Linked DNA regions of Macaca fascicularis. The protein of the gene in region 2 interacts with the protein of the main gene of each other region in a biochemical or structural test. Links are inferred from orthologs where the notes say so. Each region holds a gene or a part of one and is shown on either strand. Other genes may lie near its edges.

Region 1 (5,973 bases), on a different chromosome or scaffold from region 2:
TTCTATCTGTAAACAAACAAAACTCCCTGCCCTTGTGGTGGTTACATGTGACTGGGGTAAGGGGAGAAAAACAAATAAATAATATTTTAAAATAAACATATGAGGTAAATAACGCTACCTGGGTCTGGGAACCAAGAAAGCAAATGGGAAGATTAGCCAGACATAACTGCAATTTTATATTGCATATCATATTATAATTTAAGATAGAAATAATTTTATTTTTATACAGCTCATTGTAGAATCTAGCTTGCTTTAAACTAAGACAAGAAGAGTATGGGTATGGTGGAGCCTTTGTGTACCTAGATTGTAGCTATGAAAGAAATCTATATTTACATTTAAGAGAGAATTCATCAATTTAGGACAACTTTATAATTATGTTATAAAGTTATTTCAGGGCCTTTGACAAGAAAAAAGATGGTGAACTGTCATATAATAACTGAAATTAAATATTTATTTGGTTAGAAAAAGATAATTTGCATCTTATTTCCAAAAAGATGATTTTTAACTACATAGAAATTTGTTATGTTTAAAGGCTTTAAAGATCTATATAGAGTTGAAGATCCCTTTTTAATAATGAATAAATTGGTTCTTTTGGCAATCATTTTTTTATATTCTCCTCTCATGGCCCTTTTTAATTTCAACAGGCATTGGAAAAGTGAAAAGAAAACCTAGTGTGCCAGATTCTGCATCTCCTGCTGATGATAGTTTTGTTGACCCAGGGGAACGTCTCTATGACCTCAACATGCCCGCTTATGTGAAATTTAACTACATGGCTGAGAGAGAGGATGAATTGTCATTGATAAAGGGGACAAAGGTGATCGTCATGGAGAAATGCAGTGATGGGTGGTGGCGTGGTAGCTACAATGGACAAGTTGGATGGTTCCCTTCAAACTATGTAACTGAAGAAGGTGACAGTCCTTTGGGTGACCATGTGGGTTCTCTGTCAGAGAAATTAGCAGCAGTCGTCAATAACCTAAATACCGGGCAAGTGTTGCATGTGGTACAGGCTCTTTACCCATTCAGCTCATCTAACGATGAAGAACTTAATTTCGAGAAAGGAGATGTAATGGATGTTATTGAAAAACCTGAAAATGACCCAGAATGGTGGAAATGCAGGAAGATCAATGGTATGGTTGGTCTAGTACCAAAAAACTATGTTACCGTTATGCAGAATAATCCATTAACCTCAGGTTTGGAGCCATCACCTCCACAGTGTGATTACATTAGGCCTTCACTCACGGGAAAGTTTGCTGGCAATCCTTGGTATTATGGCAAAGTCACCAGGCATCAAGCAGAAATGGCATTAAACGAAAGAGGACACGAAGGGGATTTCCTCATTCGAGATAGTGAATCTTCGGTAAGTTGATTTTCAGATGTAAATACAAATAGAGCTCTATGTATTAAAATGAAAAAGAGAAATGGAGAGGTTAAGTGGCTTCCCTAAAGTTAACCAGGTAACAAGCTGGGACATAACATAAGCATAAATGTTCCAAAGCTAAAGTCAGCATTCTTTCTAGCTATCTATTTTCAATGAAAAGAGAGTTGTGGCAGTGATGCTACATGCTGAGTTATTTGGTCTTTTCTAGTTCTGTTGATTTTGCATTCCTGATATATTTTCTGTTGCATTAAACTAAATGGAGAAAATGGAACATTGACTTCTTCATTGAATGTAGAATAATACTGTAGATTAAATTGGGAAACATTTTAAAAATTGCTATTGGATACAATGTGTAAGAAGATAGTCACTGTAGTCCTTATGACATAGGAAATCCCTGAATTTAAAAAATTGATACTAAGTTTCTTCATAAATTGGTTACTTGGAAATTGGAATACACTTTTTATTGTAATCTCAAAAAACCTATTTTAACACTGTGTTTGAAATGCATTTGCAATAAAAGGTAAATTATATTGCAATACTAGTAAACAATAAAACTATAAAACCATAAAAGTTGAAAAATAGTATGGTTTCATGGTCTCTTAGATACTGTTTAGGATATTAGAATTTGATGACACTCATTTTCCTTAAAAATGCCCTTTTCCTTGATAAAAGATATCATTACTTTTCCATTTATTAAATCATGATTAATCTTGGCTTTGCGTGAGTATATTTGTACAAAAGGGAATGTGTAATTGCACAAAATTTTGAAAGAAAATGTGTGGAAGTGGGGTGTGGTGGGGAGAGAGATTAATTGAACTTCTAATATGAAGTTCAGGAAAATGGGGCCTGTGCCTAATCCCTCAGAAAAGCAGTTGGTTGGCAGTAGGGAAGAGTGATGACATCCATTTTCTGTTAGTTGCCTGATCTGGCTCACTGTTTGAAACTTTGGGAGTAACTGTAGAAAAAGAGGCTTTTGGGGGTTGATATAGACTGTAACAACAACAACAACAACAAAACACCTAATTAAAAAGAAAATAGCTTGAATGCAGAATTGTGTGTATTTTCTTGTGGGTAATTGAGCATAAATATAAGACAAAATACAATATATACCATTATTTTTAGCAGTATACTTTTTAAGGTTAGGTCTCAAGTAGGCATATTTTGTTTAGCCTTCACAGTGTTTTTTAAACGTTTAAATTCATTGCCCATATTTAAATATTAGGATATTTATTGTAAAAATTCAGACTTTGGACCATTTAAAATTGAAAGAACTACCAACATTGAGACCCTATTCCTGCGGGGCAACAATCACAGCTGAGAAGTCACCACTTCTTTAGATTGGTGATGCACTGTCATTTTCTCTGCCCATCTACCCTTCCACTCTGACACTTGTTTACGTTATTCTTTTGGCTCTTGTAGGCATTTGAGTTTGTGGCCTTTCCTTAAAGTTTAGATTAATTCTCATTTGTGTGTTCTTCATTTTTGGGAATTCAGCGTGTTATCCCTAAGACAGCTACTGTTAGCTACACATTGAAAAGGGGTTGGGTGGGTATCTTAGACTTTCTCATGTGTTTCTCTGACTGGAGAGAAGATAGCTCTTGTTCTTCAAATATGTAAGGGATTTGCTGTGGGTGTCTACTGGTGGAGCTGTGGGTGTTAAGAGACTTTTGATTACACAGGTTTGAATCCTGGCTCTGTTGTTAACTAGATGGATGATACTGGCCAATTTATTAATAGCTTCCCTGAGACTCAGTTTTCACATCTGTAAAAAGGGTTTTGTTTTAGGGAGTAAAGGAGATAAATCTATGTAAATAATTTACCATGGTACCTAGGACTTAGTGCTTAAATTTTAGCTTTTAGTTTAATATAAAAATACTGATAGAGGGCTTTCAAAATGTTTACTGTATTTTTTTTTCTCTTTTAGCCAAATGATTTCTCAGTATCACTAAAAGCACAAGGGAAGAACAAGCATTTTAAAGTCCAACTAAAAGAGACTGTCTACTGCATTGGGCAGCGTAAATTCAGCACCATGGAAGAACTTGTAGAACATTACAAAAAGGCACCAATTTTTACAAGTGAACAAGGAGAAAAATTATATCTTGTCAAGCATTTATCATGATACTGCTGACCAGAAGTGACTGCTGCATAGCTGTAATTTGTCATGTAATTGAAGACTGAGAAAATGTTGGGTCCATCGTGCTTGATTGGAAATGGCTGTTTCTAAACCTTTATGAGAATTGACAATAAGTATTTTTATTATAATTCAGCCCATACATATATACTATGTATGCAGTGCATCTGCATAGAACAGTTCCTTATCCTTGGCCTTCTGTTTTATTGTTTTTTTTCTTTGCTGTTTTCCCTTTGCTTCTAATATTACAGTTTTGTATTTTGAAAAAAAAAATCAAATAATGCTTATCAGAATCTTTATATGGAAGAAATCCTTTATTGCCTATCCTTTGTTTCCTTGTAAAGGCGCCCTGTTCTGTTATGGTTTTTCATTATATAAAATTATTATATCTATATATGACATATGCTAAAATAAATTTCTTGGAGAGTGTTAATCTTTTCTGTGACTAAATAGCAATAATAAATGAAAAATTAGAAATTATTTCCAGGTATTATATTTGTCACAGGCCATTGTAAATACCAAGTATATTGTGTCTGCCTTAATTTTAAAAAATGCATTCATTGTCTTCAGTCGTACAGAAAGACACATGAGACATAGATTAGAAAACATGTTGTACAATTTTAATTTACAACTGTTGGAAACAAAAATCACTTTCTTAATTTTTTTTCCAGTGCTTCTCCCTTATCTGGTTATTCAAGAAAGCCAAATTGTCTCTGAGATATTTAGCTTTTCAAACTATAAATAGATGCTCTAGTGTTATTTATTTTTTTTAATCCCACTTACTTTACCAGGGCATCTTGTATTAGGATATGTTATATTTATGCCAGTGGGAAACAAGTTATGGCCAAGTTTTGCAAAAATAGGAAGCAGTGAGATACTTGGTTTTTTCTCCTCACTAAATATCAGTAATTATCAGGAATGGTATTACCTATTTTCATTTCCTCTTTTCAGCTTTAAATTTTGTTGATTGGGACGCTAAAACTGATGTATACCTGAGGAAAAAATAGAATGTGCTCATGGTTAGGGAAAATTATATTATTTTTAATTTTTTCTTTTTTTTTTTTTAGCCAAGTAGGAATTTGGGTGTATGGATGAGAGGTTAATCTACTTCTGTAGGCTATAGAAGAAAACCAGTTGTATTTTATGGTCATAATTTGTCCCCCTGTTATTGTGGAAATTTAAATTTAGGTAAAGTAGCCGTCAATATTTTAATTGAAAAATACTAAAGCCACATAACTGAGTGGGATGTCATATGATACTTTCATCAAATTCCCTAATGCTGCCTAAGCATATGGATGTTTTAATTCTTTGCTATGTTATAAACAGATATCTAATACACCAGAATTATTGATGGTAAAATGGAAGTTGTGTAACTTGTGAATTTTTTTATCAATGTTTTAAATATTTTATTATTTAAATCTTAAAATCATTTAAAGACTTACGTTGCCACTGGGTGGCAGCCATGGCTTCTCCCACTAAGCAGCAGAAGTGACCAAATATAATAAGACAAATTTTCATCTCTATTACATCTGCTTTTAAAACATTTTAGTTCATATTCTATTATTTTTCTAACTCAGTGCTCCTTTGTTAAAGGTAATTATTAATAGTTAAGTTTTTAATGGAAGTAAAACTCATGTATGCTTATCTTCTTTGCTGTAAAATCACATGAATATAAATTGAGGAAAACTGTTTAAATGGTTGTAGGATGACTAGTAGTAAACATCGTCTTAATTTTTAACATATATATGATGAGGCTTTCCTTTTATTTGCTGTACGTTTCTGGGTTTTTCCCCAGTCTTCCTTATGAAAAAAATGTATGTTTGTAAAACAGGAACAATTAATGCTTTGCATCACAGACATAAACTACTCACAGTAAACTGCACTGAGCTGACATTAATAGAGCAGACTTTTGAGAAAGTAGGAATGTAGTAGCACTGGAAACAAAATGCAAATTTCTGTTCCATATTTAGGTTTATCATAGCTATGGAGCTCCCAGATAACCCATGTGTGCCAGTAATATCTATTGTGTGCTCTTAATACGGTATAAAAACCTCGCTGGAAGCTACTTATTTTGTACTTACACATTTTACCAGTTTTTAAAAAGTCTTAACACAATGCTTACACCAGTGACTGTTTTTATAATACTTGAAGTAACTTTAAGAACTGAAACAATCCTGGAAAACATCTACATAGCTAGATAGTAACAATACTTGTATTAGAAACCAAGTTTCCTTATTCCCAGCCTGGTGTGTGTATCATGACACACTACTCTGTGTATGTTTGGTTTTAGACTAGGAGGAGAGTCCTGGGAAGAGCAGTATGACAGAAGTTTTCTTCCACATGAGGAGAATGCGTAGTTTCAAATTTAAATACACGTAACAGATGGAACCCTGCCTAACTCCTACAAATGACTTCCCCAAAATCTTAGTAGAAGGTTTTTTAGAACATTATATAAGCTTTGTAA
Region 2 (6,033 bases):
TGCTATTATTATTCTTACCCTTGAAACACTGCAGGTTGCAGAAACTCTGGATCTGCATGGAATTCTGTGGGGCTGGTTCTCTCCAGGACATCTACCAAGGTTAGAGAAAGCACAAGGGGACCCAGGCAACCCTCCCACCCCCACCCCCCAACCCCGACCCGAATTCACCTCTTCCGTCTGTGTGTGTGTATCTCACAGGAACTGTCTTTCTGGGCCATATTTCAAACTCCTGGGCTGAGCTGATCCTCTTGCCTTCAGCTGCTGAAGTGCTGAGATTACAGGCTTGAGCCACCGTGCCTGGCTTTTTAAAATTTAATTTAATTTAATTTAATTTAATTATTTTAAAAAATATAACTGCTGGGCCTGGTGCGGTGGCTCACGCCTGTAATCCCCACACTTTGAGAGGCTGAGATAGGTGGATCACCTGAGGTCAGGAGTTCAAGACCAGCTTGGCCAACATGGTGAAACCCCGCCGCTACTGAAAATACAAAAAATTAGCCAGGCGTGGTGGCAGATGCCTGTAATCCTAGCTACTTGGGAGGCTGAGGCAGGAGCATCACTTGAATCTGGAAGGCAGAAAATCTCTGATTCCTTCCAACCCTAGACCTCAAATGTTAGAAAAGGAAGGACTTCATTGAGAAGTCCTCAGGGAAACTGAGGTCCACAGAAAGGAAGTGAATCCCACAGCTGGTCTGTAAGACCTAATGTCTGACGGCCTTTCTCTGTCTCTCTGACTTTCCGCCTGTGTGTTCTTCCCTTGTCATCCTCTGGGTCTCTCTCTAAATTTGTCTCCCCACATTTTGGCCTCTGACCTCTGTCTTTGTCTCATTTTTTTTGGTTTTTTCAATCCTGTTCCTTCTGTATGTCTCATGTGTGATCTGCCCCCGTTTCTCTGTCTCTCTCTGTCTCTGTGTCTCTGTGCCTTTCCTTATTTTGCAAAGTCATATCACGCCCCTGCTCAGAGCCCTCCTACAGCTTCCATTTCTCTCGGAGGAGAAGCCCAGACTCCTCATCAGGGTCCACCCCAGGCTGGCCGACCTCACCTCCTCCCACTTTCCTCCTCCCCCTCCACTCCACCCCACCGCCTTTGCTGCTTTCCAGACCCACCAGGAACTGTCCCACCTGGGACCCTGCACTTGCTGTGGCTAGTCCCACTCAGAGTGGAGCCCTCACGTCTTCACCTGCTGTCACCTTCAGAGAGCAGCCGTGACTGACCACCTCTGTGAAATGTCATAGCCCCTCCTCCTACGTGCCCCTTTCTTGCTGTATGTTTCTTCCTATTGTCTTTCAGCGTCTGAGGAACTACATCATATTCTACTTATCTTTCTTACTTTCTTTCTTTCTTTATTTTTTCTTTTTCTTTTTCTTTTTCTTTCTTTCTTTTCTTTCTTTTTTTTTTTTTTGAGACAGAGCCTCCTTCTATTGCCCAGGCTGGAGTGCAGTGGTACGATCTCGGCTCATTGCAACCTCCACCTCCTGGGTTCAAGCGATTCTCCTGCCTCAGCCTCCTGAGTACTTGGGATTACAGGCATGCACCACTATGCCTGGCTAATTTTTGTATTTTTAGTAGAGATAGGGTTTCGCCATGTTGCCCAGGCTGGTCCTGGACTCCTGACCTCAAGTGATCCACCCGCCTTGGCCTCCCAAAGTGCTGGGGTTATAGGCATGAGCCACTGCGCCAGCCCTATTGGCCTCTTTTATTTGCATCGCTGCCTCTTTCTGTTGCTGACTACCCCACCATCTCCCCCTCCCACTGGTCCCGTCCTGTTTCCCCTCTCCCTATGGCACCCTCTTAGCTGGTGTGGGGGGGCAGGACTCCCCAGCCCAGGTTCCCTGGCTCCCATCCAACGCCTGGCCTGGCCGGGGTGACCTTTGCAGTGACAGGCTCCCTGTCAGAGCTCCAGATTAGCTATGTCTGCCGGGAAGTGCTCCAGGTAAGGAGAGGCCTGGGTATTCTGGGGAGAGGAGAGGAGGGGAGCCCCCACTCCAGCCCCCAGACACTCACAGTCCCCTTGTCCACCCTTCTCCCCAGGGACTGGCCTATCTGCACTCACAGAAGAAGATACACCGAGACATCAAGGTGGTCTGGGGTTACAGGGATGCTGTTGGGGGGTGGGGCCCAGGAGATGGGCGTGGCATTTCGGGGACTCAGGGATCAGGGTAGTTTGAGCTGTGGGGAAAGAGTCTCCGCAGCCTCCCATACCCCCTCTCATTCCCAGGGAGCTAACATCCTCATCAATGATGCTGGGGAGGTCAGATTGGGTGAGTAAGGCTGGGGGTTGAGCAGGGGGGCTGACTGGGGGGCTGGAGGCACAGTGGACCCCAGATCACTATGTCTCCCTCTGCTTCCAGCTGACTTTGGCATCTCGGCCCAGATCGGGGCAACGCTGGCCAGACGCCTCTCTTTCATTGGGACACCCTACTGGTGAGGGGTGCCCAGCGGGCAGCTAGGGGTGGAGTGGGGCTCAGTGGTTTTTCCCACCGTGGTTCCCCGGGATCCTCCTTCCTGGCTTCGTTTCCCTGTCTCTTCCTTTCTCCATGGAAGATTCTTTCATTCTCTCTGGGTGTCTCTTGAGTTTTCCACTTTTCTCTCTCGTTTTGTGCCCTTTTCTGCCCGTTGCTCTAGGTGCTTGTGTTGGTTTTTATCTTGATTTATCTGTCCCTCCATATCCATTTCTGTTTCTTTCCTCTAGCTCAGTTTGTAGCGCTCTCTGTCTCTTTGTTTCTGTCTCTCACTCTCTTCTCTGCCTCTCTGTCTTTTCATTTTGTTTTGTTTTTAGAGACAGGTTCACTGTGCCTCCAGCCCCACTGTGGCCCAGGCTGGATTGCAGTGGCACAATCATGGCTCACTGCAGCCTAGAACTCCTGGGCTCAGGAGATCCTCCCACCTCAGCCTCCCAAGTAGCTGGGACCACAGGTGTACACCATGACACCTGGCTAATTTTTTTTTTTTTTTTTTTTTTGAGACGGAGTCTCTCTCTGTCGCCCAGGCTGGAGTGCAGTGGCGCGATCTCGGCTCACTGCAAGCTCCGCCTCCCGGGTTCACGCCATTCTCCTGCCTCAGCCTCCCGAGTAGCTGGGACTACAGGCGCCCACAACCGCGCCCGGCTAATTTTTTTTTGTATTTTTAGTAGAGACGGGGTTTCACCGTGGTCTCGATCTCCTGACCTTGTGATCCACCCGCCTCGGCCTCCCAAAGTGCTGGGATTACAGGCGTGAGCCACCGCGCCCGGCCACCTGGCTAATTTTTTAAAAATTTGTGTAGAGATGGTGGTTTTTTTTTTTTTTTTTTTTCTTGAGATGGAGTTTTGCTCTGTTGCCTAGGCCAGAGTGCTGTGGCACAGTCTCAGCTCACTGTAACCTCCACCTCCCGGGTTCAAGCAATTCTCCTGCCTCAGCCTCCAAGTAACTGGGATTACAGACGCCTGCCACCACACCCAGCTAATTTTTGTACTTTTGGTAGAGATGGGCTTTCGCCATGTTGGCCAGGCTGATCTCAAACTCCTCACCTCAGGTGATCTGCCTGCCTTGACCTCCCAAAGTGCTGGAATTACAGGCAAGAGCCACCATGCTCAGCCGAGATGGGGTCTTGATAAGTTGCCCAGGCTGGTCTCAAACTCCTGGGCCTAAATCATCTGCCTTGCTTAGCCTCCCAAAGTGCTGGGATTACAGGTGTGAGCCATCGCGCCCAGTCTGCATCTTCGTCTTCGTCTGCCTGTGTCTGTCTTTCCTCCCGTCCCTCTGTCTCTCCGTCTGACTCTGTGTGCTGCATCTCCCCTCAACTCCTTCTCCTTCTCTGCCCCTCCTTCCCTTCCTGTCCCCATGCCACCTCTGGCTCTCTGAGTGTGTCTCCCCCCAGGATGGCTCCAGAAGTGGCAGCCGTGGCCCTGAAGGGAGGATACAATGAGCTGTGTGACATTTGGTCCCTGGGTATCACGGCCATCGAACTGGCCGAGCTACAGCCACCGCTCTTCGATGTGCACCCTCTCAGGTAGGCAGGTGTGGGGTCCCCAGGCCCAGAGATCCTGTCCAGCCCTGGCCCAAAGCCCACCCTCAGCTTCTGCCTTCCATCCCAGGAACCTCCAGTTCAGGGATCGCCACTTGAGCCTACCTTGGCACATGCTGCAGCTCTATTTTTTAAATTTAATTTAACATTTTATTTTATTTTTTATTTTTTAAGACTGAGTCTTGCTCTGTCACCCAGGCTGGAGTGCAGTGGCGCAATCTCAGCTCACTGCAACTTCCATCTCCCGGGTTCAAGCTATTTTCCTGCCTCAGCCTCCCAAGTAGCTGGGACTACAGGTGTGCACCACCACGCCTGGCTAATTTTTGTATTTTTAGTAGAGATGGGTTTTCACCATGTTGGCGAGGGTAGTCTCAAACTCCTGACCTCAGATGATCTGCCCACCTCAGCTTCCCGAGGTGCTGGGATTACAGGCGTGAGCCGCTGCACCTAGCCTATCTTTTATTTTAATTTTTATATATTTATTTATTTTTGAGATGGAGTCCCACTCTTGTCACCCAGGCTGGAGTGCAGTGGCACGATCTCAGCTCACTGCAACCTCTGCCTCCCAGGTTCAAGTGATTCTCCCGCCTCAACCTCCCAAGTAGCTGGGATTACAGGCAAGCGCCATCAAACCTGGCTAATTTTTGTATTTTTTGGTAGAGATGGGGTTTCACCATGTTGACCAGGCTGGTCTCGAACTCCTGACCTCAGGTGATCCACTTGCCTTGGCCTCCAAAAATGCTGGGATTACAGGTGTGAGCCACCACGCCCATTTTAAAAATTAATTAATTTATTATTATTATTTTTAGAGACAGGATCTTGCTCTGTCACCCAGGCTGGAGTGCAGTGGCACCATCGTAGTTCACTTCAGCCTTGAATGCCAGGGCTCAAATGATCCTCCTGCCTTAGCCTCTCACATAGCTGGTCCTACAGGCCCACATTGCCATATCCAGCTATTAAAAATTTTTTTTTTTTTTGTCTCACTATGTTGCCCCAGGTGGTCTCCAACTCCTGGGCTCAAGCTGTCCTCCCGCCTTGGCCTCCCCAAGTGTTGGGATTACGGGCATGAGCCACTGCACCTGGCCTTGCCGTAGCTCTACCACGCCATAAGCGGCTTCCCTTAGGAGAGGTATCCTGGTGCACTGTAAAACCCGAACCTCACTTCCATGCTGTTTCTCACTTTGCCCTCTGCTGACCGTAATGCTACTAGGAACCCCTCAAGCCATGAGGTCTGGCCCCCTTGAAGGTCTGAACTCCATATCCTTTCCCTACTATTCTAGAGTTCTCTTCCTCATGACCAAGAGTGGCTACCAGCCTCCCCGAATGAAGGAAAAAGGCAAATGGTACGAGAGAGTGACAGGAGGGAGGGTGAGCGAGGGCGGGGCTGGGGCTGGGTGGCCTGATGGGAGGGTCTCTGGTCCCCTCACCCAGAACCTGGCTTCTTCTTCCCAAGGTCCGCTGCCTTCCACAACTTCATCAAAGTCACCCTGACTAAGAGCCCCAAGAAACGACCCAGCGCCACCAAGATGCTCAGTGTAACCCTCCCTTCCCCAAGACCCTCAGCCCAGAATTCCCCGGGGCCTTCCACAACTCCCGAGGACATGGATAACTTCGTTCCACGGAGTCCCCGTGGCCTTCCGAAGTCCCTAATGCCTCAGAATTTCCCAGGACCACCGTCCACCACTAGAGACCCTCTGGGCTATACCCCAAACCTTTCCCAAATCCCCTGAGTTGCCAGAACTCACAAATTCCCAAAGGACTCAAGACTTGTTCCTGAGTGTCCTCTTGAATCCCCAGGGAACCACAGTCTCTTCCAAGACAACTGTGGAATTCTCCCAGCCCTGCTCTGAGAAATGTAAATTCTAATTCCTAAAAATTTCTTAGACTCCCCAGGCTGGCTGGGCACGGTGGCTCATGCCTGTAATCCCAGCACTTTGGGAGGCTGAGGCAGGTGGATCACTTGAAGTCAGGAGTTTGAGACCAGCCTGGCCAACATGGTGAAACCCCGTCTCTACTAAAAACACAAA
Region 3 (5,456 bases), on a different chromosome or scaffold from region 2:
CAAGCATGACCTTAGTGTGAGGTAAAAATACATTAAATTAGCGTCAACTCATTAGTCTGCTTGTGGTCCCGGGCCAGCTGGCTTCCCTGTGCCACGTCACCAGTTTCTCAGTCTCCTCATTCACTCAGACAAATACGTGCACACTGTGTGTTAGGCAATGTGCCAGTCACTCAGATACCACAATCTGGTATAGGTTCAAAGAAAGCAAATTGATCATATTAACCTATGCAGAACAATTAGAAAGGTAGATTTTTTTTCCAAAATGAGGTCCAAAGCAAACTAGAAGGTGTTTCTACTGGTCATACCACACCACAGACCGGTAAGTGCCTTTATAGACTGGGAACTAACTTGGAAGTCTCATGCTGTAGTCTAAATAGCCTAGATCATTTTTGGTCTCATAAGTCTATTTTTTGGAGCACCTGACCCCATATAAATCATTCCATACTTAAATCGATTGGTAAACTAAACCTGAACATAAAAAGAGCCAAAAGTGAAGGCAGTTTATAATGTAATGTACTTCAACAGCATTACTCTCCTCATGAGAAATGAATAATACATCAGTAATTCAGGATTGGTTCAACATTTTTTTTTTTTTTTTTGAGACAGAGTCTCGCCCTATCACCCAGGCTGGAGTGCAGTGGTGCTATCTCGGCTCACTGCAACCTCCACCTCCCAGGTTCAAGCAATTCTCCGGCCTCAGCCTCCCAAGTAGCTGGGATTACAGGCGCGCACCACCACGCCCAGCTAATTTTTTGTATCTTTAGTAGAGATAGGGATTCACCATGTTGGCCAGGCTGGTCTCGAACTCCTGACCTCGTGATCCACCCGCCTCGGCCTCCCAAAGTGCTGGGATTACAGGCGTGAGCTACCGCCCAGCCAGTTCAACATTTTTCAAAGCACTAACCCTACCCCAAACTCATGTAATACTAACTTGACTTTTATACAAGTTGCACAGAATGCAGAGGGCAGAATTTGGCCCCAAAACCTTCCACAGAATATTAGAGGTGATTGGTCCTTCCACTCTGAGTAGAACCTAAGAATTCCAAGAGTCTCCTAATAGGATACTGGCCTTCAAGAGAAATGGCCCTGCTGGATCCCATCAGTTAGGACTCTAGTTAACTGCTGTAGAAGGGTGACCTACTACGACCCTTTAGGGGAAGGCAGAGAGCTGGGAGACTGGCTGTCCACTTAGTGAATCCAACACTGGCTTAAAGCTATGCACTGAATAAAGTGCTCGGTACATTCTGCTTCTCACCTGGAATGAAAATACACACTTATCCTAGGAATTAACCTACTTACAGGTTTGGGGGACAAGAATGTCAAGGGCTAAAAGAATCCCAAGAAAAAGTATGAAGCATCGACTAGGAAGGAACAAATGCTTCTAGTAGTGTTCTTAGAATTCTTAGGATCTGAAATGTCAGAATGAGTCATATGCTGGTCATGCTCCATACAATGAAAGCAGTCCTGCTTGATACTATTCACACAGTGCATTACTTCCCGGGGGTGGAAGGGAACAGTCTGTCGCCATTTGATAGTATGGTTCCAGAATGAAAACAAAACCACTGAATAAATCAGGGTAAGCAGTGTGTAATACTCCTTCCTGTCCATCGGTTTTCCACAGGGTGATTTGCATTGCCTGAGAGAAAGGAGGCAAGATACCTATCCCTTCTGATACACACAGGCACGGCCACTACCTCCTACAATTGCCAATTTCAGAAGCTAACACACGAGCCCTCCAGTTCGTACCCTGAATATGGTACAGAAGACTAGGAATGGAGTAGTTCAGTCTAAAAAAAGATCACAGGTAACAGAATGCTTATATAAACTAGACTGCTTTTGACATCTGTAAGAAAACTGTATAGATGGCAGCTGGAAAAAAAAAAAAGATTGTTCCCATCTGTCAGCAAAACTGTTGAGCTATACTCAGCTGAAGTCCTCATCGGGATTCTGTTGATCCAGCAGACGGACATGTGTGAATGGGAAGTGACCTCGTTTGCCATTACACTCCCCTTCCCACTGACCACTCACATTAATCTTCGTAACCTTTACCAGCTCACCGACCTGCAGGAGGAGAATAAGGAGAGCACTTTATTTCCAGTTAGGAATGCAGCTGCACAACTCCGTTCTCTGGTCAGCACACCCTGCCCATGTGATTGCTCTAGGGATGTGACAGAAATGGCCCCTTGCTGCCTCCCCAGCCCCAGCCACCAGACTGATTCCTTGTGGTTAATGCAGGCAGAAGGAAGAAGTGTTTTTAGCAGTGCAGAAAAACAGAGAATACAGAAAGTAAAACAGGATCCCAGATAATGATACTTTTTGATTAAAAAAGGAAAGTGGTAATTATTGGAAATCTCAAGTGTCTCTGAACAAGCAATCCCCACTTCAGTGAGTGAGCTAGTATTCCCTTTCTTTGTACTCACTACCCTCGGCTTTCTACCTGCTCCGCAGACCCTGTCCGAGGAGAAGCAACCTTCTCCCCTCTTTTTTTGTGTTTTTTCTTTTTTTTGAGATGGAGTCTTGCTCTCTTGCCCAGGCTGGAGTGCAATGGCATGATCTCAGCTCAATGCAACCTCTGCCTCCCAGGTTCAAGCAATTCTCCTGCCTCAGCCTCCAGAGTAGCTGGGACTACAGGTGCCCGCCACTATGCCCAGCTAATTTTTGTATTTTTAGTAGAGATGGAGTTTCACCATTTTGGCCAGGCTGGTTTTGAACTCCTGACCTCGTGATCCACCCGCCTTGGCCTCCCAAAGTGCTGGGATTACAGGCGTGAGCCACGGTGCCCGGCCACCTTCTCCCATCTTTAGCGTCCGGCAGCAGCACAGTCCCCCAGCCCACTCGCACACATGTCCTGGTCTATTACCGCTTGCACAGCAGAAACTGATCATGGCAAGCATAGGTCACTTGGTCCTAGAAAATCAAGTGTTCCCATCACCTCCTGACCAAGGCAAGCCTTTTCCCGTATGGGCAGGTAGAGGTCCAAACTCCAAATCCAATTAGCTCTCAGAAAACCCCCACCTCATTAAGCAAGCTCTACTTGACAAGCCACTGCCTGCCCAGCCCCCCAATCCCACCATTCGACAGACCTTGCTGCTCCCTCAATGCTGCTGATTACCTGATCATTACCCAATGAGGGGTCAAAAAAACCAACTATGGTTGGGCACAGTGGCTCATGCCTGCAATCCCAGCACTTGGTGAGCCTGACACAGGTGGATGGATTGCTTCAGCTCAGAGTTTGAGACCAGCCTGAGTAACATGGTGAAACCCATCTCTACAAAAAATACAAACATTAGCTGGGTGTGGTGGTGGCCGCTCACAGTCCCAGCTACTCCGGAGGCTGAGGTGGGAGGATTGCTTGAGCCCAGGAGGCAGAGGTTGCAGTGAGCTGAGATCACACCACTCCATTCCAGCCTGGGCAATAGAGCCAGACCCTGCCTCAAAAAACAAAAACAAAAAACCCCCCTGTATTTCAGCATGTATTTACGAAATGTCTCGTTGCAAAATGAAATATAAAGTTGTTTTTTTGTTTCTTTTTTTTTTTTTTTTTTTTTTTTTTTTGAGACGGAGTCTCGCTCTGTCGCCCAGGTTGGAGTGCAGTGGCCGGATCTCAGCTCACTGCAAGCTCCACCTCCCAGGTTTACGCCATTCTCCTGCCTCAGCCTCCTGAGTAGCTGGGACTACAGGCGCCCGCCACCTCGCCCGGCTAGTTTTTTGTATTTTTAGTAGAGACGGGGTTTCACCGTGTTAGCCAGGATGGTCTCGATCTCCTGACCTCGTGATCCGCCCGTCTCGGCCTCCCAAAGTGCTGGGATTACAGGCTTGAGCCACCGCGCCCGGCCTTTGTTTCTTTTTTGAGACAGAGTCTCGCTCTGTCACCCAGGCTGGAGTGCAGTGGCGGGATCTCAGCTCACTGCAAGCTCCGCCTCCTAGGTTCACGCCATTCTCCTGCCTCAGCCTCCCAAGCAGCTGGGACTACAGGTGCCCGCGACCACACCTGGATGCTATTTTTAAAATATTTTTAGTAAAGATGGGTTTCACCTTGTTAGCCAAGATGGTCTTGATCTCCTGACCTCGTGAGCCGCCCACCTTGGCCTCCCAAAGTACTGGGATTACAGGCGTGAGCCACTGTACCCGGCCGAAATATAAAGTTTTAACAATCTATGATATATTTCTATCCTGCTATGAAACTTCAGAGGTCAGTCTGATGAATGGATTCACCCCATGGCAAAATGCTGAATGGTGAAATACAGCCTCAGATGCCATGCCACTGGACTAAAGAGTTTTATGACCATCCTTTAAGTATCAATATTTGAATTCTGGGCATACTCTGTTCATTTGGTTTTATTTTTTTTTTATTTTTTTTTATTTTTTGAGACGGAGTCTCTCGCTCTGTAGCCCAGGCTGGAGTGCAGTGGCCGGATCTCAGCTCACTGCAAGCTCCGCCTCCCGGGTTCACGCCATTCTCCGGCCTCAGCCTCCCGAGTAGCTGGGACTACAGGCGCCCACCACCTCGCCCGGCTAGTTTTTTTTTTGTATTTCTTAGTAGAAATGGGGTTTCACCGTGTTAGCCAGGATGGTCTCGATCTCCTGACCTCGTGATCCGCCCATCTTGGCCTCCCAAAGTGCTGGGATTACAGGCTTGAGCCACCGCGCCCGGCTCATTTGGTTTTATTAAACCAACTACTATTTACTGAATTATTATATAGCAGAGGGCATTTTATATTTTATAACTTTATATTACATTAAAATATAAGGTATTTTCCAATCCTCATAATCATCCTGCAATACAGGAACTGCTTTCATTTTACAAATCGAAAGACGGCAGTTTAGAGAAATGGCATGATACACATGCCACAGAGGCGGCAGTTAGTGACAGAGCTGGGAATTTGAGCCCAGAGCTATCCGGTTCCAAAGCCCATTTATGCTTTTTATCTTTTATTTTTTGAGACAAGGTCTCACTCTGTCACTTAGGCTGGAGTGCAGTGACACCATCATGGCTCACTGCAGCCTGTAACTCTCGGGCTCAGGGGATCCTCCCACCTTAGCCTCCCGAGTAGCTGGGACTACAGGTGCATACCACCATGCCCAGCTAATTCCAGGCATGAGCCTCCGCACCATGTATGCATTTTATACAGTATCAGGAACTTTCAAATCATGCTCCTGGGGTTGTACTGGGTTCCCTAAAAACGTCCGCAGGCCATCTATTGACCAAAGCCCACGGAGGTCCAGCCGCAGGGCCTCATTTACAGATGGACAGCTGGCCTCCTGGCCCCTCTGCTGCCTCCTAAAGACCTCTCTAAAAATCACAGAGGCCTCAAGTCATTGTATGGGTCATAGGATGCTGAGAAAATGAGGGACAGAAAGAAGGGGATAGAGAGACACATAAGATACAGAGGTTGAGAAAAAATAGCAGTGGGCTGGGTGCGGTGGCTCACGCCTGTAATCCCAGCACTGTGGGA
Region 4 (5,524 bases), on a different chromosome or scaffold from region 2:
AGCACAAGCACTGTTCGGTAGAGCCATGGAAGAAGCTGGTCCATAGCCAGGCCTGTAACTGGGCAGCAGGCTGCATAACAGCCAGGATGTCTTTTCTGTGTTAAGATAGAAAACAGCATGAGGAATGATGATGGTGTTTTAGCATGTGGAAACTCCTGCAAGGCCACAATGAGGCACTAGTGGTCAAGGGGCCACCAGAAGTCTCTCAGCCATTCTCTTCCTAGGCTGCTCTTTGACCTACTTCTGCTGGTCAAGGTTCCCTCTGTCTAAGCAGTAGCTCCTTGATCCTATGCTCTGCAGCATTGATTTAGTAGTGTTTTTCTGCCACTTGCTGCTTTTATGTGTCTTCTCTCTCTCTCTTTTTTCTTTTTAATAGAAGCTAGGTCTCACTATGTCACCCAGGCTGGTCTTGAACATGTGGCCTCAAGTGATCCTCTACCTTGGCTTCCCAAAGTGCTGGGATTATAGGCGTGAGCCACTGCGCCTGGCTACACCAAGTGCAGTGACATGATCTTGGTTCACTGCAACCTCCACCTCCCAGGTTCAAGTGATTCTCCTGCCTCAGCCTTCTGAGTAGTTGGGATTACAGACATCTACCACCACACCTGGCTGATTTTTGTATTTTTTAGTAGAGATGTGGTTTTGCCATGTTGGCCATGCTGCTCTCGAACTTCTGACCTCAGGTGATCCACCTGCCTCGGCCTCCCAAAGTGTTGGGATTACAGATGTGAGCCATTGCGCCCAGCCTTTTTCTTTTTCTTTTCTTGAGACAAGGTCTCGCTCTGTCACCCAGGCTAGAGTGCAGTGGCATGATCACAGCTTACTGCAACCCTGCAACCTCTGCCTCCTGCGCTTAAGCGATCTTCCCACCTCATCCTCCCAAGTAGCTGGGACTGCAGGTGCATGCCACCATGCCTGGCTCATTTTTGTATTTTAGAGACAGGGTTTCACTGTGTTGCCCAGGCTGGTCTTGAACTCCTGGGCTTAAGTGATCCACCCGCCTCAGCCTCCCAAAGTGCTGGGATTACAGGTGTAAGCCACTGCGCCCAGCCACTTCGTGTTTTTTACACTATGTTATTATCTAACAAAGATTCATCGTGTATCCCACTTAAAAGACAAGTTTTTTGAGGATACGAACTGACCTGCCCATTTTCCATGGAATAGATGTTCAGTAAATTTTATTTAATTGTTTAGGTAGGATCATGTAGAAAGTATCCTGTTAAAGACCGCCAGACTCACAAGTTAATTGGAAGGTATGAGGTGTGAGTGTTCTTGGTAGCTTTCAGTCCCTAGCCTCCTCATCTCCATCTTCCCGTTGTCTTCCTTGGCTGCTCAGTATCCATCACAGTAATTTATTAGACCCCGTTTTCAGCCTGTTCCTCGTTGGTTTTGAGAGGACCCTTGTTGGTGACAAGGTTGGAAATCCTCTGATACATACAGTGCTGTGCTTCTCAGTGCTAATTCCAGCTCTTCCCTTCGTGCATCCAAAGGGTATGATCATTAGAGGGGGCGTGGGGCTGGGTTCTACTCAGGAATCTCTACTCAAGTAACAATCATTTGATTACTGTAAGACCCTTTCAAAGTTGGAAGGAAACTGAGACTTGGAGAACTTAAGCAGTTTGCTACAGTCATGTAGTTTCTAAAAGTGGCAGAACCAGGACATTTGTTTGGTGTCCTGCATGTTCCAAAGTTCATGGCATGGACCACTGGACTGTGCCACCTTGTGCCTGTTTTTATTTTGAGATGTAGTCTTGCTGTGTTGCACAGGCTGGTCTCAAACTCCTGGGCTCAAGCAATCCTCTCACCTCAGCCTGCCAAGTACCTAGAACTACAGGCACGCACCACTATGCCTGGTTCTGTATGTGTTTAAGCAGACGAAAGCTTATTTATTATTGTCTTAGATCTTAGGCGTGTCTTATATTCAAGTAGTGTTTTTATGGACCTGAGTACACAAAATAGAATCTTAGATTAGTGCTCTGCTGAACAGAGAGCACAATGTCTACAATGGCTACCACCTGAAGGTCTTTTTTAAAAATACACCTTTTTGTGTGATTTGACTTTAACTGTTCTCAGAATCATGTGTTCATTTCTATCCTGTTGGGGTTAGTAGCCAAAATAAAGGGTTGGTTTGGGGAGGAGCTGCTTTGTGCTCAAAAGCTGTTTGTGCGTGTGCGTGTTTTTGTTTTTTTGAGCAGGGTCTCACTCAGTTGCCCAGTCTGGAGTGCCATAGAACGATCACGGCTCACTGCAGCCTCAGCCTCATGGGCTCAAGCCATCCTCTCACTTCAGCCTCCTGAGTAGCTGGGACTAGAGTCATGTACCACTACACCCGGCTAATTTTTCTATTTTTTAGAAGAGATGAGGTTTCACCATGTTGCCCAGGCTGGTCTCGAACTCGTGACCTCAGGTAATCCCAGGAGTTCAAGGTACAATGAGCTGTGATCGTGCAACCGCATTCCAGCCTGGGTGACAGACCCTGTCTATAAAAAAATTAATGTGCATGGTGGTGCACGCCTGTAGTCACAGCTATTCAAGAGGTGGTGGTGGAAGGATCACTTGAGCCCAGGTGTTAGAGGTTACATTGAGTAGTGATCTCACCACTACACTCCAGCATGGCTAACAGAGTGAGACTCTGTGTCTAAATAATAATGTATGGGCCCTTTGGATAAGGTAGTGTTTGTGATTTAATGTAAACTGTCTTTTTCTTGTTGCAGAGAAATGCTAACTTTGTCTTCTTCATCCGTACAGGTTGGTGACATTGTGAAAGTCACAAGGATGAATATAAATGGCCAGTGGGAAGGCGAGGTGAATGGGCGCAAAGGGCTTTTTCCCTTTACGCATGTCAAAATCTTTGACCCTCAAAACCCAGATGAAAATGAGTGATTGCCGTTGCCCCGTTTCCTGCTGCTTTGTTGTTCTGCCTGTCCTAGTCTCCTTTGAAGTGGGAAAGCATTCTCTCTCATAGGCAAGTCACACTGCATTGCCGAAGTCCAGCTTTCTGCAGACTGGCAGTCGCACACACATTTGGAATGCACACAGCGACTGCCTCCTGACGTTTGTATCATAGTTGTATTGTCAAAGAGTAGCCGATTTTAGAGTTCTTTTGGATCATAAACTGGAAATACTGATGGAAGCACACAAGTGGAGAGAAGTTGACGAGGAAAGGGTCTTCCTTCTCATCGCTGCCTGTTTGTACATGGGACTGATTCTGTCGTGTTCACCAGAGAAAGCCTGAGGCCATGGCGAGATACTGCATGTTTGCTGTTCCACAGAGCAGTGGCTCAGCTGCCATCTTGCTTTTCTTTGGACAACAGGAACTGAACCTTAAGGAAGAGAGAATTCTGTTCTAAAACTCCAAAATTCGGCTTTTTTTTTTTCTTTTGGTTTGGTTTGGTTTTGGAAAACTAATTAATTAGACTTGTGTGGGGTTTTTTTGTTTTGTTTTGTTTTGTTTTTTGTTTTTTTGAGACGGAGTCTCGCTCCATCACCCAGGCTGGGGTGCAGTGGCGCAATCTTGCCTCCCTGCAGTTTTCGCCTCCCGGGTTCAAGCAATTCTCCTGCCTCAGCCTCCCGAGTAGCTGGGATTACAGGCGCGCACACCACGCCCAACTAATTTTTGTATTTTTAGTAGAGACGGGGTTTCATCATGTTGGCCAGGCTGGTGTCGAACTCCTGACTTCAGGTGATCCACCCGCCTCAGCCCCTCAACGTGCTGGTATTATAGCCATGAGCCGCTGTGCCTGGCCTAGACTTGTGTGTTCTAAACAGGTTAAGTAGCAGGTTGGGTTTTTATGATAGTGCAAGGAATGACACATGCCTCTGAGCTTCTAAACTGAAGCTGCTGTAACTAAAGGAATCTGAAAAGAACAACCCTGAAGCAGAGGCCTTTATTGTCTTGGTTGCCAGTAGTAGTTTGTTTTGCCATGTAGCAGAAAACACACAAAATAATGCAGCTGTGGTGTGCCATGCCATGTGCACAGCCCCTTGGATTACTTTGTTTTAAAAAGCATCAGAGTTGGGGGGTACTTTAGGGAAACCTTTGCTTACCTTGTTTGCCAGTGATAAGAGCAGTGGGTTGGAGGGCAGTTGGCCAGTTTTCTGTTCAGCTTTTCAGTGAATGTACCCCTTTAAGGTTAAGACTTAAATTCCCCTAAAAAGTGGGGTTGTTCATAGAATCATTGGACTCATTAATGAATCGTTAAATTCCACTCACTGAAGCCCAGACCTCCGTACCCAGGCCCAGTCTCACCAGGCTGCCAGAGAAAGTTGGTGCTGCTGATACTGGTCTCACAGTCTAAGTAAGTGTCTGATGCTCCCAAGCAGTGGAAATGCAGGCTCTGGAAATTGGTTAATGTATTTGATGTCTTAGTGTTTTAGTGACTAGGGAGACCATTAACCAGTTTATCATTAACCACTTATCAGTGTATTGATGTTAAAGCATTTCCCTGTTAGCTAAAAGAGGCCTGTTCATACAAGCCAGCTGGTATATATGTGTGGTTCATCCGTCATCTGCTGCTCATGGCAGACTAGAATTCTGGGAACCCTGTGTAATTCAGTCTGTTCTCCCTTCTGGGCCCTGGTAAAGACAAGCCTCAGCTTATAGTGAACACAGCAGACCTAGAAATGTAGCAACAGCCTAATGAGTAACTGTCATTTACTGAGTATCTGCTGTGACTGTGGCCCTGTCTGGAGGTTCCTAGGTTTTGAGATTTAGAACAATGCCTTCTGGAGACAGAACCAGCAAAACAACCATTTTTCAATTTTTCTTTAAATCAGTATTCTATTAGGCAGATAACTGCCATATTCATGAATCTTGAGAGTGTTCCCTGTGACAGAATTAATGGTCAGTTGGGAAAACTATCACCATGGCTTCCCATCTATGGTTCTCCTCTAAAATTCTTAGAGATTAGCCCTTCCTTGCCAGTGAGAACGGTGGCCGCCTCCTGCTCTGCATGGTCTGCGGCAGTTGCCGCTTCTGGTTAGGTGTGTCAGGTTGGTTTATTTTGGGCTCAGGCCTGGCGTAGCACCCACAGGTGGCAGATATATCACAGAGTCCCCAAACTCTGCCTAGAAATAGTGTTTGCCCTTTAGCCAGTGACCTGGTTCATCCCTGCCCAAGTTGAACCCTGAGTGGAGTTTCCAGCAGAGGGATGAATGTGCCTTGTTCAAGGAGGGCACAGACCCTTAAGCCTTTTTCAAACAGATTTAGCTGAAGGACTTGACACCTTTGAATTACAGCAGTTGACTTAGAGCGCAAGAAGTCTGTGGCCATTTTGGAAAGCAAGGTTTCCTTTCAGCCCTGTCTACTGACCAATACCCCAACTCACCTTGTGTGGCGCACTTCAGAATCAGATATACCTAGAGTATACCTGTGGTTTGGTTTTATAATTAATCAGCTCATCACTTCAGCCCATGAAAATGGCATCCAGGGCTGTCAGGAGATTCAGAGCTCAAAACAAGGCGAGCTTGAGTTCTGCACTCCTGATACGTGCCAAAAGTAAAACTTTTTTACTTACAACCTTGT
Region 5 (6,536 bases), on a different chromosome or scaffold from region 2:
GGCACATGCCTGTAATCCCAGCTACTCAGGAGGCTGAGGCAGGAGCATCACTTGAACCTGGGAGGCGGAGGTTGCGGTGAGCCAAGATCGCGCCATTGCACTCCAGCCTGGGCAACAAGAGCGAAACTCCATCTCAAAAAAAAATAGATGCAACTGTCTTAAAATTTCCTCCCTAGGACTCTCATCAAATAACCAGGAAATATTAACTACCAGAGAAGAGACAATACTAAAAGTTGTCACCACATAAAAAGTTGTCACCACATGCAAACAGACATGTCCTCTCCTGAGGACATCTCCTCTCCTGAGGACAGCTGAGATTATCTAGGAGACTTTATCTGCATAGTAAGACAACCTTCAGGAAGGTGCACCTCACCTTCCTGAAATTTGTCACAACCTCCAGCTCCCAGAGCTCAGAGGAACTTTGTCCTAGGCCATTGTCTGGGCTCATTCCTTTTACCTAAAAATCACTGACTACCTCGCAGTATTGCCGACCTCCCCTCATCTCCCTCTCCTCTATAAAGATGGTGCTCTTTAAGCTTCAGTCACCTGGCTCTTCTCTGAGTCTCATATTCTGTATGGCAACCATGCACACTGCATGTCAGTAAATTTGTATGTGGCTTTTCCTGTTAATCTATTTCCAGTTTATTTCAGCAGACTCAAACTGTAAGAGGGGAAGGGAAAAATTCCCTTCACCCCTACAATCATCTCCTCACCTGCCCTTCCCTGTTCTCTGTGCCCGCCCCCTCCAGTCAGCTATGCCTCTTGACTGGCAAATTTCTGTGTTCTGCCCGTTACCCAGGCCCACTCAAAACAAAAAACTGCAACTCTTCCCTCACGTCTTCCTCTCTGCTTAGCAGCCAAGTCCCTCCCTTCCATTTCTATTTTTTTCTGGCTGCTATTTTAGAACAAAGTGGCATAGTGGGGGAAAAAAACATGGATTTTAGAACAAGACAGGCCTTAGTCCAAATCTTAGGTCTACTATATTTTGGTTTCCTTGGGTAAATTACTAACCTCGCTAAGGCTTAGTTTCCAAGTCTATAAAATGGGCATATTGCCCACCCTGTGGAGGTGCTATGATTTAAGTATGCATCAAGTGGTAAATAGAGGGTCCTTTTGTTATTTTCACCTCATATCAGACATCTCCTGCTCACAAACCTTCAGAGGTTGCCCATCACTTGACTATGACACCTGAGCTATAGATTTTGCATTTTGGCCCCCTCTCTCATTACTCTTCCCCCCAGTTCCTGGGCTCAGACTAATCAAAAACATTGGTTGATGGCCAGGAGTGGTGGTTCACACCTGTAATCCTAGCAGTTTGGGAGGCCGAGGCAGGTGGATCACTTGAGGTCAGGAGTCGTAGACCAGCCTGGCCAACATGGCGAAACCCCGTCTCTACTAAAAATACAAAAATTAGCCAGGTGTGGTGGTGGGCTGCTGTAATCTCAGTTACTTGAGAGGCTGAGATGGGAGAAGGTGGAGCTTGCAGTGAACCAAGATTGCGTGCCATTGCACTCCAGCCTGGGCAACAAGAGCGAAACTCCGTCTCAAAAAAAAAAAAAGTGACTGATTCCATTACTCTTTCCTCTTTCCTCCCCGTTTTCACTTTGCCGTTCAAACCAAATCCTTCTTGATTAGTTCATCACCAAGTACTGGCTCCCTCCTCAGCCATCTCTGTGTAGTTCAGTGGCACTTGGGGCCAAACTACCTGTCTTACAGATTAGGCAACTCCAGATTACAAAGCACTGAAAGCAGGGGCTTTATCTGGTTGGCCTTTTACCCTCCAGAGCCCCTTGCACACACATGATGCTCAATAAATACTTGGTGAAAGAACAATTCATTTTCTGTGTTTCAATGGGCTTGTTTTCTCTATAGAATCAGATGCTTGGTTATTCTCATCTCAGCGCTATTTTGTTGGCTTCCAGAAGGCACATTAACACTAGGTGTGTTCTGTTCTATCCTTTAATTGGAAGAGCTTTGGGAACTGAAAAACAAGAATTATTTCTCCAAGCCTCATCTTCTGCCACTCCCCCGTACTCACCGGCCTCATACAGGAATTGAACTACTTAGCACTGCACAGAACACGACTTTCTCTTTCACGCCTCCGTTCCTCTGTACTTAGCCTCTGTACTTACGTGCCATTCCCTTTCCCTGAAATGCCCTTACTCTGGCTTCTCTGCCTGGCAAATTCCTACTCATCCTCCAAGACTCAGCTCAGACATCGCCGCATCACGTCTGTGAAGGCTCTTCTGCAATGGGCAGTGTAGCAGTCCCTCCTCCATCCTTTTAGCTTCCTCAGCAGCTCCAAATAATTATAACAGTACTTATGGCATTATTTGTTAATTTTTCTTCGACTTCCCTAGACAGTGAATTCCTTAAGGGCCAAGATTTCTGTTCTATACCCAGCACAGTGTTCAGTCTCTATTAGGCACACGATTCAATCAATGAGCAAACAAACTCACCAATCATTCCACACTGCAGAGTTTGTACGGACCGGATTCTCAAACACTTCAAGACCTGGTCCTCTATGTGGAGCGCTTCATGCTGGAAGATCTCTTCCTCCCCTCAGCCCTTATCCATCCAACTGCCTCGGTTTGGTAGAAGAGGAAAAGAAAGTGATTAGACGGGGGAAGAGTCCTTCAGGGCCAAGTTGTCATTTACCTGTTCTGGCACCGAGAGGGTTACGGCGACCCGGGGGCGGAGCCGTGCCAAGGCCACCTGCTGCGGGGCGGTCTGGCGCATGCGCCCTGGCAGCTAGCTGTCCCCACCTGTGGGGGCCCGGCCGAGAAGGAGCGCCTGCGCTCTGGGCCTTTTCCGCTGGGGGAAGTCTCGCGGGGGCGGAGCGGGGCGGGGCCTCGTGGAGAAGTTCTCGCGGGATACCGACGGGGAGCGGAAGCGAGGAGGCACTAGTGCTTCGGCGACCGGGCGGCTGCGGCGTCTGTGTCAGAGGCTGTGTCTGTGCCTGTGTCTGTGGCGGTGACGGCGGCGGGAGCAAGCGCTGCCCTCGCGGAGCAGCCTCTGGGTCGCAGGCCGCTCGCAGCGTTGTGGAGGGGCGGGCCGGACGCTGAGCGGAGCAGCTGCGCCACGGTGAGTGCGGGAGGCTGCGCTCGGCGCGGCTCTGGTGCCTCTTCCTCACCGGTCTGCAGCGGGAGTGGGCCCCGGGGGAACCGGGACCGGCCCCGGGGTTCGGGTCGGGGCGGCGAGGCTCGGGACGTGGAGCGGAATCCCCGGGGCTCCGGACTCTACGTTTTCCCTTTTGGGGCGCTTCCTTCCTGGGGACCGTCCTCCTCCGGCTCTCGGCTCTGGGCAGTCCGGGAGTCCAGGGGAAGAGGTCGGGGCTCCCTGGCGAAGTCCCCTGCCTTCATCGGGAGGGTTTGCACGGAAGATGCCCGGGAAGCCCAGGCGGGCAGAACGCCGGCTGAGTCAGTCCGCCCGAGCCCGGTGGCGGGGGACTTGGTGTGGGTTGCAGCTGTGGTGATTGATGTGCTTTCGACCTGCACGGCAACCACGTCACCATCTCTTGGCGTCTTTGGGCTTAATTTTGTGCGGGAATCTACCTTGGGGTAGAACGTTTGCTGCTGGAGCCGGGGGAGATACCTTTATTCTGACACTTAAAAAAAAAAAAACTATTTGAAAAATGTTTGTCAAGAAAAATTCAATAGCAGCAGGTTGGACTGCACCGAGGAAGGATTGCGGCGAGAGCGGGCGCTGGTAATTTTCATTTGCAGCGTGCCGTCTCTGTGATTGTAAGCCACATGTGAGTTATGGCTTGTTTAGAAAGTTTTTCAAGGCTAGCTTCAAACGCTATGAAAGTGCGGTTTGCAGGGGACTGAAGTGCACTTGAGGTCTATCTCCTCTTGATGTTGTTTACTTTCAGAAATGTCAGACACATGAGAGAAATTAGCATTAGTCTCTTTTGACTTTCTTACCTCTCTTTCACTTAGTACTTCTCCAGTTATGTCCTTCCTTCTTTGCTTCTGTCCATTCCAATAGGGACACGAAATGCTTGTGTAATGCAAGTCATTTGTCCCTTCCTCCCCCCATCACCCCCTTTTTTTTTTCTCTTATCTACTTCCCCTTCCTCCTTGTAGTCCCCACTCTGGCGTAATTTTCCGAGGTTTCTTCCCTTTCGTGCTGTTCGTTTTCTCTCATTTCAATATTACATCTTTTTTCTCGGGAAGAGACTCTCTTTCCTGCTTTCGTTCCTTTACTTTTGCGCGTTCCCTGCAGTCAGCCAGAAGGGTTGCTAGAGAGCTGTGGGAGGCTGAAGTCCCCTCTCTGAGAACAGGGAGGCTCAAAAGATTGAATTAATCCCTAAGAAATCAATCCTGCCACTAGGTCACAAGTGTGGTTTGCTTGTGTTATTTTTGTCTTTTAGTCTTTTTCTTTTAAGATTATGCTTTTGTGCCTGCTTATGCCTTCTTCTAGTATGTCTTTATAATAGTAAGGAAGATTGGGTCGGCTCAGGGCTTACGTGACTTTTTTTTTTTTTTTTTTTTTTTTTAAAGGCAGAGTTTCGCTCTGTCTAGGCTGGAGTGCAATGGTGTGATCTCGGCTCACTGCAACCTCCACCACCTGGGTTAAAGTGATTGTCCTGCCTCAGCCCCCTGAGTAGCTGGGATCATAGGCGCTCACCACCACACCCAGCTAATTTTGTATTTTTAGTAGAGATGGGGGTTTCACTATGTTGTCCAGGCTGGTCCTGAACTCCCGACCTCAGGTGATCCACCTGCCTTGGCCTCCCAAAGTGTTGGGAGTACAGGCGTGGGTCACTGCGCCTGGCCAGAGTTAATTCTTATAATCAGCTTTCTCCTACTAAACACAAGCATTTATTTATTTATTTATTTATTTTATTTTATTTTATTTTATTTATTTATTTTTTTTTGAGATGGAGTCTCGCTCTGTCACCCAGGCTGGAGTGCAGTGGCTGGATCTCAGCTCACTGCAAGCTCCGCCTCCCGGGTTCACGCCATTCTCCTGCCTCAGCCTCCCGAGTAGCCGGGACTACAGGCGCCTGCCACCTCGCCCGGCTAAGTTTTTGTATTTTTAGTAGAGACGGGGTTTCACTGTGTTAGCCAGGATGGTCTCGATCTCCTGACCTCGTGATCCGCCCGTCTCGGCCTCCCAAAGTGCTGGGATTACAGGCTTGAGCCACCGCGCCCGGCCTTAATTTTATTTTTTTGAGACGGAGTCTTGCTCTGTCGCCCAGGCTGGAGTGCAGTGGTGCTATTTCGGCTCACTGCAGCCTCCATCTCCTGGGTTCAAGCGATTATCCTGCGTCACCCTCCCGAGTAGCTGGGATTACAGGTGCTCGCCACCAAGCCCGGCTAGTTTTTGTATTTTGGTACAGACAGAGTTTCACCATGTTGGCCGGGCTGGTCTCGAACTCCTGACCTCAAGTGATCTGCCCACCTCAGCCTTGGGATTACAGACGTGAGCCACTGTGCCCTGCATAACTCAAACATTTAAATGTTTGAGGCACTTTACCCCGTCAGCAAGTTACTCAGATTTGAGAGGCTTGCTGGGTTTTAAATACTACTGGTTGATGGTACTTAGAGATTCTTCTCAGTAATTGCTGTTATCACGTCGCATGTTGTGCATCAGAGTTCTAATTATTACACATACAACAGAAGAGGAATGGATTTTGGAGAAATGAAGTGGTACAGAATAGAGAGTCACCATGCCCTCCGGAGAGAAATTAATACTTACTTGCTTAATTCAGAGGAACTGTCCACCATTACTGAACGGCTTTTGAAAGTCTCTCTTTTTTTTTTTTTTTTGGTCAAAGTTGCCTTTTTCCTAGTGGTACCAAGTGAATATGCATTATTTTCTTTTTTTTTTTTTTTGAGACGGAGTCTTGCTCAGTCGCCCAGGCTGGACTGCAGTGGCGCCATCTTGGCTTACTGCAAGCTACGCCTCCCAGGTTCACGCCATTCTCCTGCCTCAGCCTCCCAAGTAGCTGGGAATACAGGCGCCCGCCCCTACGCCCGGCTAATTTTTGCATTTTTAGTAGAGACGGGGTTTCACCGTGTTAGCCAGGATGGTCTCGATCTCCTGACCTCGTGATCCACCCGCCTCGGCCTCCCAAAGTGCTAGGATTACAGGCGTGAGCCACTGCGCCGGTGCATTATTTTCTTTCTTTCTTTTTTTTTTTTTGAGACAGATTCTCGCTCTTGTTGCCCAGGCTGGAGTGCAATGGCACGATCTCGGGTCGCCGCAACTTCCGCCTCCTGGGTTCAAGCAATTCTCCTGCCTCAGCCTCCCAAGTAGCTGGGATTACAGACATGAGCCACCACGCCTGGCTAATTGTGTATTTTTAGTAGAGACAGGATTTCTCCATGTTGGTCAGGCCGGTCTCGAACTCCCGACCTCAGGTGATCCATTCACCTCAGCCTCCCAAAGTGCTGGGATTACAGGTGTGAGCCACCGCACCCTGCCAGTATGCATTATTTTCATTTCATGCAAGGACATTGTAGTGCATTATCTGGAATGCAAATTTTAAAATCTGGTTAAGGCATCCTTATGGTATAGCAATGATG

The links.
Region 1: the proteins of MAP4K1 (region 2) and NCK1 form a complex in vitro, tested with the Homo sapiens proteins (2 studies listed by BioGRID, with this or other methods). The link is inferred for Macaca fascicularis from reciprocal best matches to the Homo sapiens genes MAP4K1 and NCK1.
Region 3: the proteins of MAP4K1 (region 2) and CRK form a complex in vitro, tested with the Homo sapiens proteins (2 studies listed by BioGRID). The link is inferred for Macaca fascicularis from reciprocal best matches to the Homo sapiens genes MAP4K1 and CRK.
Region 4: the proteins of MAP4K1 (region 2) and CRKL form a complex in vitro, tested with the Homo sapiens proteins (2 studies listed by BioGRID). The link is inferred for Macaca fascicularis from reciprocal best matches to the Homo sapiens genes MAP4K1 and CRKL.
Region 5: the proteins of MAP4K1 (region 2) and GRB2 form a complex in vitro, tested with the Homo sapiens proteins (3 studies listed by BioGRID). The link is inferred for Macaca fascicularis from reciprocal best matches to the Homo sapiens genes MAP4K1 and GRB2.

Annotation. Positions count from the first base shown.
Region 1 is NC_088376.1:39,809,098-39,815,070, forward strand, and holds the end of NCK1 (SH2/SH3 adapter protein NCK1), read left to right. Parts: intron 1-644; coding exon 645-1,357; exon of another isoform or gene 1,358-1,393; intron 1,394-3,302; coding exon 3,303-3,497; 3' UTR 3,498-3,987; downstream 3,988-5,973. UniProt on the Homo sapiens protein: Adapter protein which associates with tyrosine-phosphorylated growth factor receptors, such as KDR and PDGFRB, or their cellular substrates. Maintains low levels of EIF2S1 phosphorylation by promoting its dephosphorylation by PP1.
Region 2 is NC_088393.1:45,677,821-45,683,853, reverse strand, and holds part of MAP4K1 (mitogen-activated protein kinase kinase kinase kinase 1), read left to right. Parts: intron 1-34; coding exon 35-99; intron 100-1,878; coding exon 1,879-1,934; intron 1,935-2,032; coding exon 2,033-2,080; intron 2,081-2,219; coding exon 2,220-2,262; intron 2,263-2,352; coding exon 2,353-2,425; intron 2,426-3,859; coding exon 3,860-3,991; intron 3,992-5,286; coding exon 5,287-5,349; intron 5,350-5,459; coding exon 5,460-5,541; intron 5,542-6,033. UniProt on the Homo sapiens protein: Serine/threonine-protein kinase, which plays a role in the response to environmental stress. Appears to act upstream of the JUN N-terminal pathway.
Region 3 is NC_088390.1:1,529,960-1,535,415, forward strand, and holds part of CRK (adapter molecule crk), read right to left. Parts: intron 2,062-5,456; coding exon 1,924-2,061; 3' UTR 1-1,923. UniProt on the Homo sapiens protein: Involved in cell branching and adhesion mediated by BCAR1-CRK-RAPGEF1 signaling and activation of RAP1.
Region 4 is NC_088384.1:31,929,640-31,935,163, forward strand, and holds part of CRKL (crk-like protein), read left to right. Parts: intron 1-2,748; coding exon 2,749-2,883; 3' UTR 2,884-5,524. UniProt on the Homo sapiens protein: May mediate the transduction of intracellular signals.
Region 5 is NC_088390.1:81,806,056-81,812,591, reverse strand, and holds the start of GRB2 (growth factor receptor-bound protein 2), read left to right. Parts: upstream 1-2,888; 5' UTR 2,889-3,084; intron 3,085-6,536. UniProt on the Homo sapiens protein: Non-enzymatic adapter protein that plays a pivotal role in precisely regulated signaling cascades from cell surface receptors to cellular responses, including signaling transduction and gene expression.